Linked DNA regions of Tribolium castaneum. The protein of the gene in region 1 purifies or fractionates together with the protein of each later gene. This does not show direct contact. Links are inferred from orthologs where the notes say so. Each region holds a gene or a part of one and is shown on either strand. Other genes may lie near its edges. The genes, in order: Noc3 and pescadillo homolog.

Region 1 (4,270 bases):
AAACTTTGTACCATGATGTCTGTTTGAGTGACACAAATGCAGGTTTAACAGCCCTATAGAAATTTATCAAGCGGAAGAATCGCATTTTGCGACCCACAAAAGTCGGATCTTAAACGATTGTTTGATCAGACTGGGGATAATAATGTTAAACAATTTATTTTTATATGAAAGAGCAGCGCAAAGGTAGAGAATTTATGTATTTGCATAGCAAGTCGCGTGACAAAAAAATATTTCCCTAATTTTATTAAAGTAAATGTTTCTGAAACCGTATTCGGAGTGCATTTGCTAATGTGTAACCGCAGAGAAAAGCCCAAAGAGCGGTGGTTGGGCAAATGCAGCAATAACGAATTTAATTACAATCCATTTATCTTTGTTTAGGCCCTACTACAAAACACAAGTCAGAGTTTGAACGCGTAATTGGTGGGTTTTTCGTTCTATTGGCAAAGTTTGCTCCAATTCGCCGAGATGATGATAAATTTGGCGCAATTAGTATTCATTAGTCGCTTAGGGGTTGATAAATCACCCCTGTACACACATTTGGCGCCCACACATGAAGGATTTTTGTTGATGAGACAATAACGTATTGTTCTTACCTTGGCTCACGGCGATGCCAAGAATCAACCAACTCCACACTTTGTGCATGTTTACAAAGTTTCCAAACACACAGATTTTACATTATTGGTGCAGAGTTTCAAATAAATTACATTTTTGATTTTCACATTGTTTGGATTAAAAAAAATGAATTTTTGTAATTTTTTTTGAGCCGCAGCCGCACGTAATTTTACGCCGAAAGCTCGAAGTCAATATTTGGAAAACACACTTCCGGTTCTAGCGACGGCTGTACAGCATCTGATTCTGCCGTGATCTGTGATGTAGCCAGACGCCGCGACGGCAGTGGAAGGGCAGAACAGACGCCTGAAAAATCCAGTTCGCGCCAAATACGAATTCAAGCTTCGAAAGCTTTTGGGCAAAAATTAACAATTATTCATTTTATTTGAATTTTTTATCGCGCATATGGAGTATATAGAACTCATATGAGGGTAAAACGTACTTTTTCTACTTTGGTATCACAAACTGTTCATTGTGAAACCGAAAGAAGTTTCACAAAGAGAACTTTTGTGTATAAAAGTCCGGACAATTAACAAAATTAAAAGGAAATAATTTAAATCGATTTTGATAAGTTTAACTAAACAAAAAAAAGTATAAGTTATAACACTTGTTCTAATGAACCACGACGAAGGAATTCGAACTAAGCCGATTTCTGGCAAACTTTGTTTCGACTATCCAGAAATTCTCCAGTTCTGGATTGGAATAAACAACGATTGAGGTTAGGTGGGATTATAAAAACGTGTTTAAATTTGCAAAAAAAAATAAAAAAATGGGAAAATTGCAACATTCCGAAAGTGAGGAGGAAAATGATAGTGATTATGGGGAGGACATGCTTGAAATGGTCGAAGAGGACGACTTGGACTTCCTCAAAAATGCCATAACTTCAAAATCGTACAACATTTTCAACAAAGTCAAGTATTCCGGGTGAGATTTTGAATAATGTATAGGAGATTTTGCTCAAACCCCAGATTTTTCAAGTGCCCCTAAACCCAAAAGGCGCCGCTTAAATAATGAAGACTCGGATCTGGAGAAAGAGTTTGAGGAGCAAACTGTTGAAGACACCCCCATGAAAAATCTCCTACCCATCAAAACTAAGTTTGGAATTGTGCCGCAACAAATTGAGGACGAGTCCGGTTTGTTTAACTTGTGGGTGACGCTAAATTCTATTTTAAAAATTTAGGCGAGAAATCTGAAGATGAAGCCGAAGAAGACGAAACGCAGGAGCAGTTTGACCTAGTTGACGATAAAATTGATATTTCGAAACCAATTCCTGCGGCACATTTATTGGCCGAGCGACAGAAAGTTTTAAGAGAGAAAAAAATTCACATTGGGACTTTGAGTGCCGGTGTTTTGGAAAATCCCGAAGAAAAAGTAACAAATCTACGAACTTTACTCAAACTAATGGATGAGGAAAGTAGCGAAGTGTTTTTCACTGTGAGGAAATTGGCCACTGTGTCGCTCCTAGAAGTGTTCAAAGACGTTTTGCCTTCATATGAAATCAAAAAAGTCAACAATGATGGAGTGAAATGTTGGTATTTTTTACGATTGGTTTTGTGTTTAATTACGGTTTTTAGTGAAAAAGGATACATTAAAATTACAAAAATATGAAGAAAGTTTAGTGCAATATTACAAAAAGTTTTTGCAAAAGCTTGAAAAGAACTCTTCGGTTTTGCTCAAGAAAAAAGGTGACACAAGAAAATTTCACGAAGTAATTGATTTGTTCTTGTCACGTAATATTTCTCTGATATTTTTTTTCATTTGTAGGAAGAAATTAAATTGGCTGAACTAGCAGTGCAGGCATTATGTGACTTACTAGTTGCACACCCTTATTTCAATTATGCCCAAAATATAGCACAAGCTGTTGTTCCCTTCTTAAATAACGTAAGAAGTAACATACGGGAAATTGCAAAAAATGCAATAAGAACAGTTTTCAAGGAGGATAAAAGGGAAGAAATCATACTAAAGGTGAAAATAATAAAAAATTATTTACTTTTGTAACGTTTTATTTAAGATTTTACGAATAATCAACGCCTATTTAAAAAACCGAGCTCACAATGTTCATCCCGACATGTTAGAGACATTCCTTGTTCTTAATTTACGAGACGTTAATTTAGACGAGGAAAAGGAGCAAGACATTAAACAGAAAAAATTGATGGCACGCAAACAAAAAGTACTACAAATGTCCAAAAAAGAGCGCAAACGTAAGAAAAAACTTCAAATGTTGGAACAGGAATTACTAGAAACTAAAGCTGAAGAGAACAAACAGTCAAAACAGCGCAACTTGACTGAAATCACAAAAATAGTTTTCGGGGTTTATTTCAGAATTTTGAAAAGTTCGACCAATAATAAAGTTCTGGGCGTTTGTCTAGAAGGCCTGGCAAAGTAATTGTTTAACTCGCGTCTTGATTGGTGGGAACTTTGCCATGACATCAAATTTGACACTGTACAACTAGATTTTCTTAACTTTTATATTTTTTTTTCAATTTTGATAATTTTGAAACAATAAACAAGTTATGAAAAGAAAAAATTAGGTTCCAATTCATCATCAACTTAAAAAATTACGAGATTACGTCGCTGTGGTGATTCCCTATCAATCAAAGCGGCTTGGTTTAAGTTATCAAAATTATTAACAATCTCCAATTTCAGGTTTTCTCATTGCATAAATATAGAATATTACTTAGACCTTGTCAACATTTTGGACAATTTATTGAAAGAAGAGTGGATCGGTTACAGAGAGCAGTTACATTGCGTCCAAACTGTTTTTTCTATTCTGAGCGGACAAGGAGAAGCTTTAAATGTAGACCCGACTCGTTTTTACACCAATTTATACAAAGGTCTCCTCACAACCAACGCCTCTAAAAACCACTCAAATTTTCTTATTCTTTTGAAAACACTCAACGATGCTCTGATCAAAAGACGCAAAAAAATAACAAATAAAAGGACGCTCAGTTTCGTGAAACGTTTGGCCACTCTTAGCTTACAATTGTTGCATAATGGTAGTTTAGGGAGCCTTGGTCTTATCAAAAACATAATGCAGCTTAACAGAACAGTGGATATCCTCCTAGACTTGGATAATTCGTTCGGAGACGGAAAATATCAGCCAGAACTGGAAGACCCTGAATATGCGAACGCGTCAAGTACCGGTTTATACGAACTGAATTTGTTGGTGAGACATTACCATCCTGTTGTCACCAAATACGCCAGAAATATCGCTTTTGGGGTCCCCGCCACGGGGGAAGGCAGCCTTGACCCCGAATACGCCAAATGGTAAATAAAAAAATTTGAATTCAAGTTGGTAACGCCGAATTGTTTTGTTTCAGCACACCTGAGCAACTCTACCACGATTTTGACATGTGTGAAATGGCCTTCAACCCCCCTGTCCCTGTCCCCAAAAAAGTGGCCCCTAAGGAGAAGCACCAAAAGCACCTATTTGCCGATTCGGCCTTCGAGAGCCAGTGCAAAAGTATAGTTAGGGCACATTTGAAACGCAAAGCGAGTTTTTTGTAAAATAAAAGATAAATTTTTTGAATTTATTAGAAGTTGGTTTTATTGGGTTTGTCCGTCCGCCAGGTGGCACTACCCGTTTGACGTTTTCTAATAACAAATAATGACAGAAGAAACGTGAAACGTCAGTGTCATTCTCATTAGGATTTTTGTCAAT
Region 2 (4,318 bases), on another chromosome or scaffold:
TCTTTAGTTAACACATCTCGATTATAATTATGTCAATTTTTGTAATTAAAAGAATGTTTATCCAAAATAAAAATAAATAAGATATCACGAAATTAGGTCTTAAAAATGCTGTTTTACATTTTATGCTCTTTTTGAGTTAAATTTCAAAGTATATACTTTTGGAGTCTGAGTTTCCAATAACAATTTCGTTCACGAGAAAATTGCATCAAAAATCCCTTTATTTTTATTTATGTTTCTTGTGTTACGTTTTTTTGTTTTGTTATAATTTTACGTGCTAAAAATTGACAAGGTTGTAGAAAAAATTGTTATGTAACTCAAAAATACTTAGATGGGGCTATACTGCTCACTGAAAAAAATTATGCAACTGACTATCATTTTTGCTTTCTAGAACTAGAACAATTGACCGGCATTGCAGCAATTCTCCGCTTCCCAATGCCCGAACTCGACGAAGACGATGAAAGCGAGACCGAAGACTAATCATGTCAAAAACACTGGTTGTATTCGCGTTTTTAACTCTTTGTTGATCATTTTTAAATAAATTAGGGAATTTGTTGTATATTTTTAATTGTTATGTGAATAATTGCTGTAGATTTTTAGTGAATTCCTTCAATTCTATTTATTTATAAGATGTACAATTAAGTAACAGGAAGATTACTATTTATTGCATAACTTAATCCACTGAAATATTTTATGTACTTTATAAAAAATAAAATAATTATGAAACTGACGCGCTTTTTTGTTGTTTCTTTTTCGCTTTCTTTTCTTCTTTTTGTTTCTCATCGTGTAATCGTCGCTTCTTCCTCAACAACCAAATCTCTTTCGCCCTTTCTTTGCGGCCGGCCATCATGCTCTTGTACAGTTTTCGGTGTTTGTTTTTAACCAACTTTTCCCTAAGTTTATATTCCTGCCTCTCTTGCCGACTCTTCTCCCAAGGAACTTCCTTGTATATTTCACCTGGAGTTACCTTTAATTTCTTTTTCACAGGCGCCGTTTCCTCCGCTTCAACTTCTTCATCCTCGTCTTCTTCTTCCTCTTCTTCAACTTGTTCGTTCGTTGTGTCTGCATTTTCAGTTTCTTCTTCTTCTTCGTCTGCATCCTCATCACTTTCTCCCTTCTTATGCAACTCCTCCAAAGCTTCAGGATCATACAGAGCCTTTTCCTCCGGAGGCATATACTCCTGATGCCGCCCTTCGTTAGTAAACGGCGATAAATGCGGGGGGAGAATCTCCCCCATAAAGTATTTATTAACAGGGAGGAGTTCCCTCGCATTAACACTATCAAAAATCCACTGGGGCTGAACGTAATATCGTGAAATGTATTGCTTCTCCATTGAGGGTCGATCAACAATTTGGTGCGTAATCGACTCGTCATTTTCATCAAACGTGGCCCCCACAAAAAGTAACTTATCCCACGAGACTTCGCCCCCGAAACAACGGATAATAAACACGAGAGGTTCTCTTGGAACTTCTCGATTCAAAAAGAACTTCAGTCCCTTGAAAAGTGTCTTCAATTTTTTTATTTTTTCAGCCTCAATTCGCGCCTCTTCGATTTTCTCCGGACTGTTCTCAGTGTTGAAATTATCAATTTCGACTTCGTCCTCAATTGCTGAATTCGTACTTTTGGATAGAGGGAAATTAAGGGCTGCCACACGTTCTGACACAAAAATCCCCTCGTCTACGATTTCTTTCTCACTGTCTGTTTGGCTCAAATTTGTGAATTTGGGAGGATAGTAAAGATTTAATTGGTGGTAGAGCCGGAAATTGACAAAACCCAACATAATCGTGTAAAACTCGACAAAAGTCGACATTAACTTAAAATCGACTTCGGCCTTGCTCTGGGGCTCGAACGCGAAATGGTGGGGCACAATCCACGTAATGGTCTCACCTTTGATTTCCGCTTGGTAGTAATACCCCTTGATTGAAATAAAAACTTTCCTTAGGGCCTTGGCCTCGATCACCGCGTGTAAAAACTCAATTGTGAGCCTCTGACACAGCGCACTCTGGTCGCGGGGGACGTGAGGGATTGACGGAAACGTACTGAACAAGAAACACAAAGTGAGACAGTCGTCCAGGTCGCGCAACGCGTCCAAAAACGTGGGGTATCGCTCTTTGACAATGTGGTCGAGTTTCAAAGTTGGGTGGTTATTCAGGTATTTCTTCAACGATTCGAAGTCTTTAACAGCTCGGGCACGCCCGACTTTCTTGTTGAAGATTTTGTAGTCGCGAAGGCGCCAAATCATGGGCTCGTGTAACAGAAATTGGATGTCTTTGACGTGGTAGAGGGTTTTGATACCGGACTGGCCCTTCTGGGCACGTTTGCGGTTTCGGGGCTCACGGGGGTAGATGCCCTTAAGGATGCAGATGCGGCGGAAGTCGTTGAGGGATAATTGGAGCTTTTTGAGGGCCGCTTTGCGGGTCATGAATTGGGCACCCTCGCCGGTTGTGTACTACAAAGTGATAATGAAACATTTGAAATGGTAAGGTAGGGGTGGTGTTACCTTCTTTTTGCGTTTGGAAACCATGTTTTAACAAAATAATACACTAAAACGTTAACAACTGGAGAAATGCCAACACGTGTTGTTTTGAGGTTAGAGTCCGCGAAATGACAGATCGTCCACGGTGGTAGGAGTGCGCAGAGACGAAAACTCGTCTCGGACGAGTCCAATCTTTAAATTAGGGGTGTTGGCAGAAAACAGTGGCGTGGCGTGTACTTACATCTGTAGGGAATTCGTCTTAAAGTTTAACATTTCAATATTACCAGTTATAGTAAAGATACCAGTAGAAACATTTTTTGCAATAAACGCGTTTTTACTCTTTACTCATTGTGTATTTTTATTTATTCGACCTCTCTGCTGTGTATTTTTAGGAAATCAACGTGTATTAGCATTAGATATGATTTTTACTATTTCATCTTGCAATTATTGAATAGAGGAAATTTTAACTACTACAAATTATGAATCTCAAACCCTTCTTGATCATAGAATAGTTTTTTGCTACGCCACTGCTCAATCTCCTCACTCATGGCCTCCTTGATGTATGGAGACAACTTCGTTGTTCAGGCCTGGCGCATCGATAAGCTTCAGCGGTTTTTTCGAGACCGTAGATGGCGCCCTATTTAGCGCACTGACGTTTATCTGACAAATAGCATTTGTGAGGTTAAATCCGACAAAAAAATTGAATTTAACAAGTACAATTAGCAGAAGAGAAGGTGAAAAAGAGCTTACAATGTAATTGTAAACAAATACAACAATAAATACAAAAACTCAAAAAAATTAATAAAGTAGTAGATTTTTTTCGGGAGTTTGGTGATTCACGAGCGGTGCGTGAGAGTGAGCAGAGGTCTAGACAGGGACTATAATTAACTATAATCTATGGCAGGGACTTTGGAACGGACGGTCCAGAGATACTCCAGCAGAGAGTAACGCAGCAGAGGAACGCTGGATCGAGCTTTTTTAAACCATTTCATTTGAAAAAAACGACATTCTTTGTACATTTTACTAAAATTAAATTAACAATAGCAGGTTTTGAAAATACGTGTGTGCAAAATAGTTTCATTTGCCTAAACAATGTATTGCAAATATCTGCTGATTAAAAGGTTGCAAATACCTTTCAGAAAACTTAAGCCATGTCTTAAAAATCACAGATTTGTAACGCATTCTACCTAAACCATTGGTAAAACCATATAGTATGCCTAATAAATGAAAGGTACTTTGAAACATCGTTTTCTTTAATATTTATAAACGATGACGAACCACCAATTCACCCTAAAATAATTTGTATATCTTCTGAAGCTGAAAATAAAAAATCCTAATGATCGTAAAATGATTTCCTGCAAGAGTTACACTATCCAAACGTTCGTTCAGGGCACAACTTTAGAATTATCCTCACATTTCCTACGTATTTCACGAATGCACATTTACATCTTTCAAATTTATTAGTCTTTAACCTCAAAATTGGTATTTGTCAAATAAACGTCAGTCCGCTAAATGCAGCGCCAGTGGAGAATCAGCCGAACTTAGCGATGCGCCAGGCCTGAACAACGAAGTTGTCTCAATACATCTAGGAGGCCATGGCTCCGCCTATCGTGGTCGTTTACAGAGTTTCCGAGCTCTACCACTAATTTTCGCACTAAAATTTCACATTGCCAGTTTCTGTTTAAATATAAACATGCATTTTTATTTTTCCATTAACTGCATGCGAAACTTTTATAATTTTAGACGTTTATAGACAAATACATTTGTCATAATTTATTTTTCTAGATCAATACTGTTCTATTTTGAATAATTCTGTGTATGAATGTTTCTAAATTTGACGGATTT

The links.
Region 2: the proteins of Noc3 (region 1) and pescadillo homolog purify together in Homo sapiens (affinity purification with mass spectrometry; 3 studies listed by BioGRID and IntAct, counting the BioPlex papers as one, with this or other methods). This does not show direct contact. The link is inferred for Tribolium castaneum from reciprocal best matches to the Homo sapiens genes NOC3L and PES1.

What each region holds. Positions count from the first base shown.
Region 1 is NC_087396.1:23,831,338-23,835,607, forward strand, and holds Noc3 (nucleolar complex protein 3), read left to right. Parts: upstream 1-1,275; 5' UTR 1,276-1,378; coding exon 1,379-1,533; intron 1,534-1,587; coding exon 1,588-1,742; intron 1,743-1,789; coding exon 1,790-2,137; intron 2,138-2,183; coding exon 2,184-2,317; intron 2,318-2,373; coding exon 2,374-2,574; intron 2,575-2,620; coding exon 2,621-2,991; intron 2,992-3,255; coding exon 3,256-3,876; intron 3,877-3,929; coding exon 3,930-4,116; 3' UTR 4,117-4,142; downstream 4,143-4,270. Other genes in the region: Hasp (complement factor H), read right to left, coding at 594-642. UniProt on the Homo sapiens protein: May be required for adipogenesis.
Region 2 is NC_087395.1:18,780,050-18,784,367, forward strand, and holds pescadillo homolog, read right to left. Parts: upstream 2,825-4,318; 5' UTR 2,522-2,824; coding exon 2,498-2,521; intron 2,447-2,497; coding exon 716-2,446; 3' UTR 591-715; downstream 1-590. Other genes in the region: pelo (protein pelota), read left to right, coding at 389-477. UniProt on the Homo sapiens protein: Component of the PeBoW complex, which is required for maturation of 28S and 5.8S ribosomal RNAs and formation of the 60S ribosome.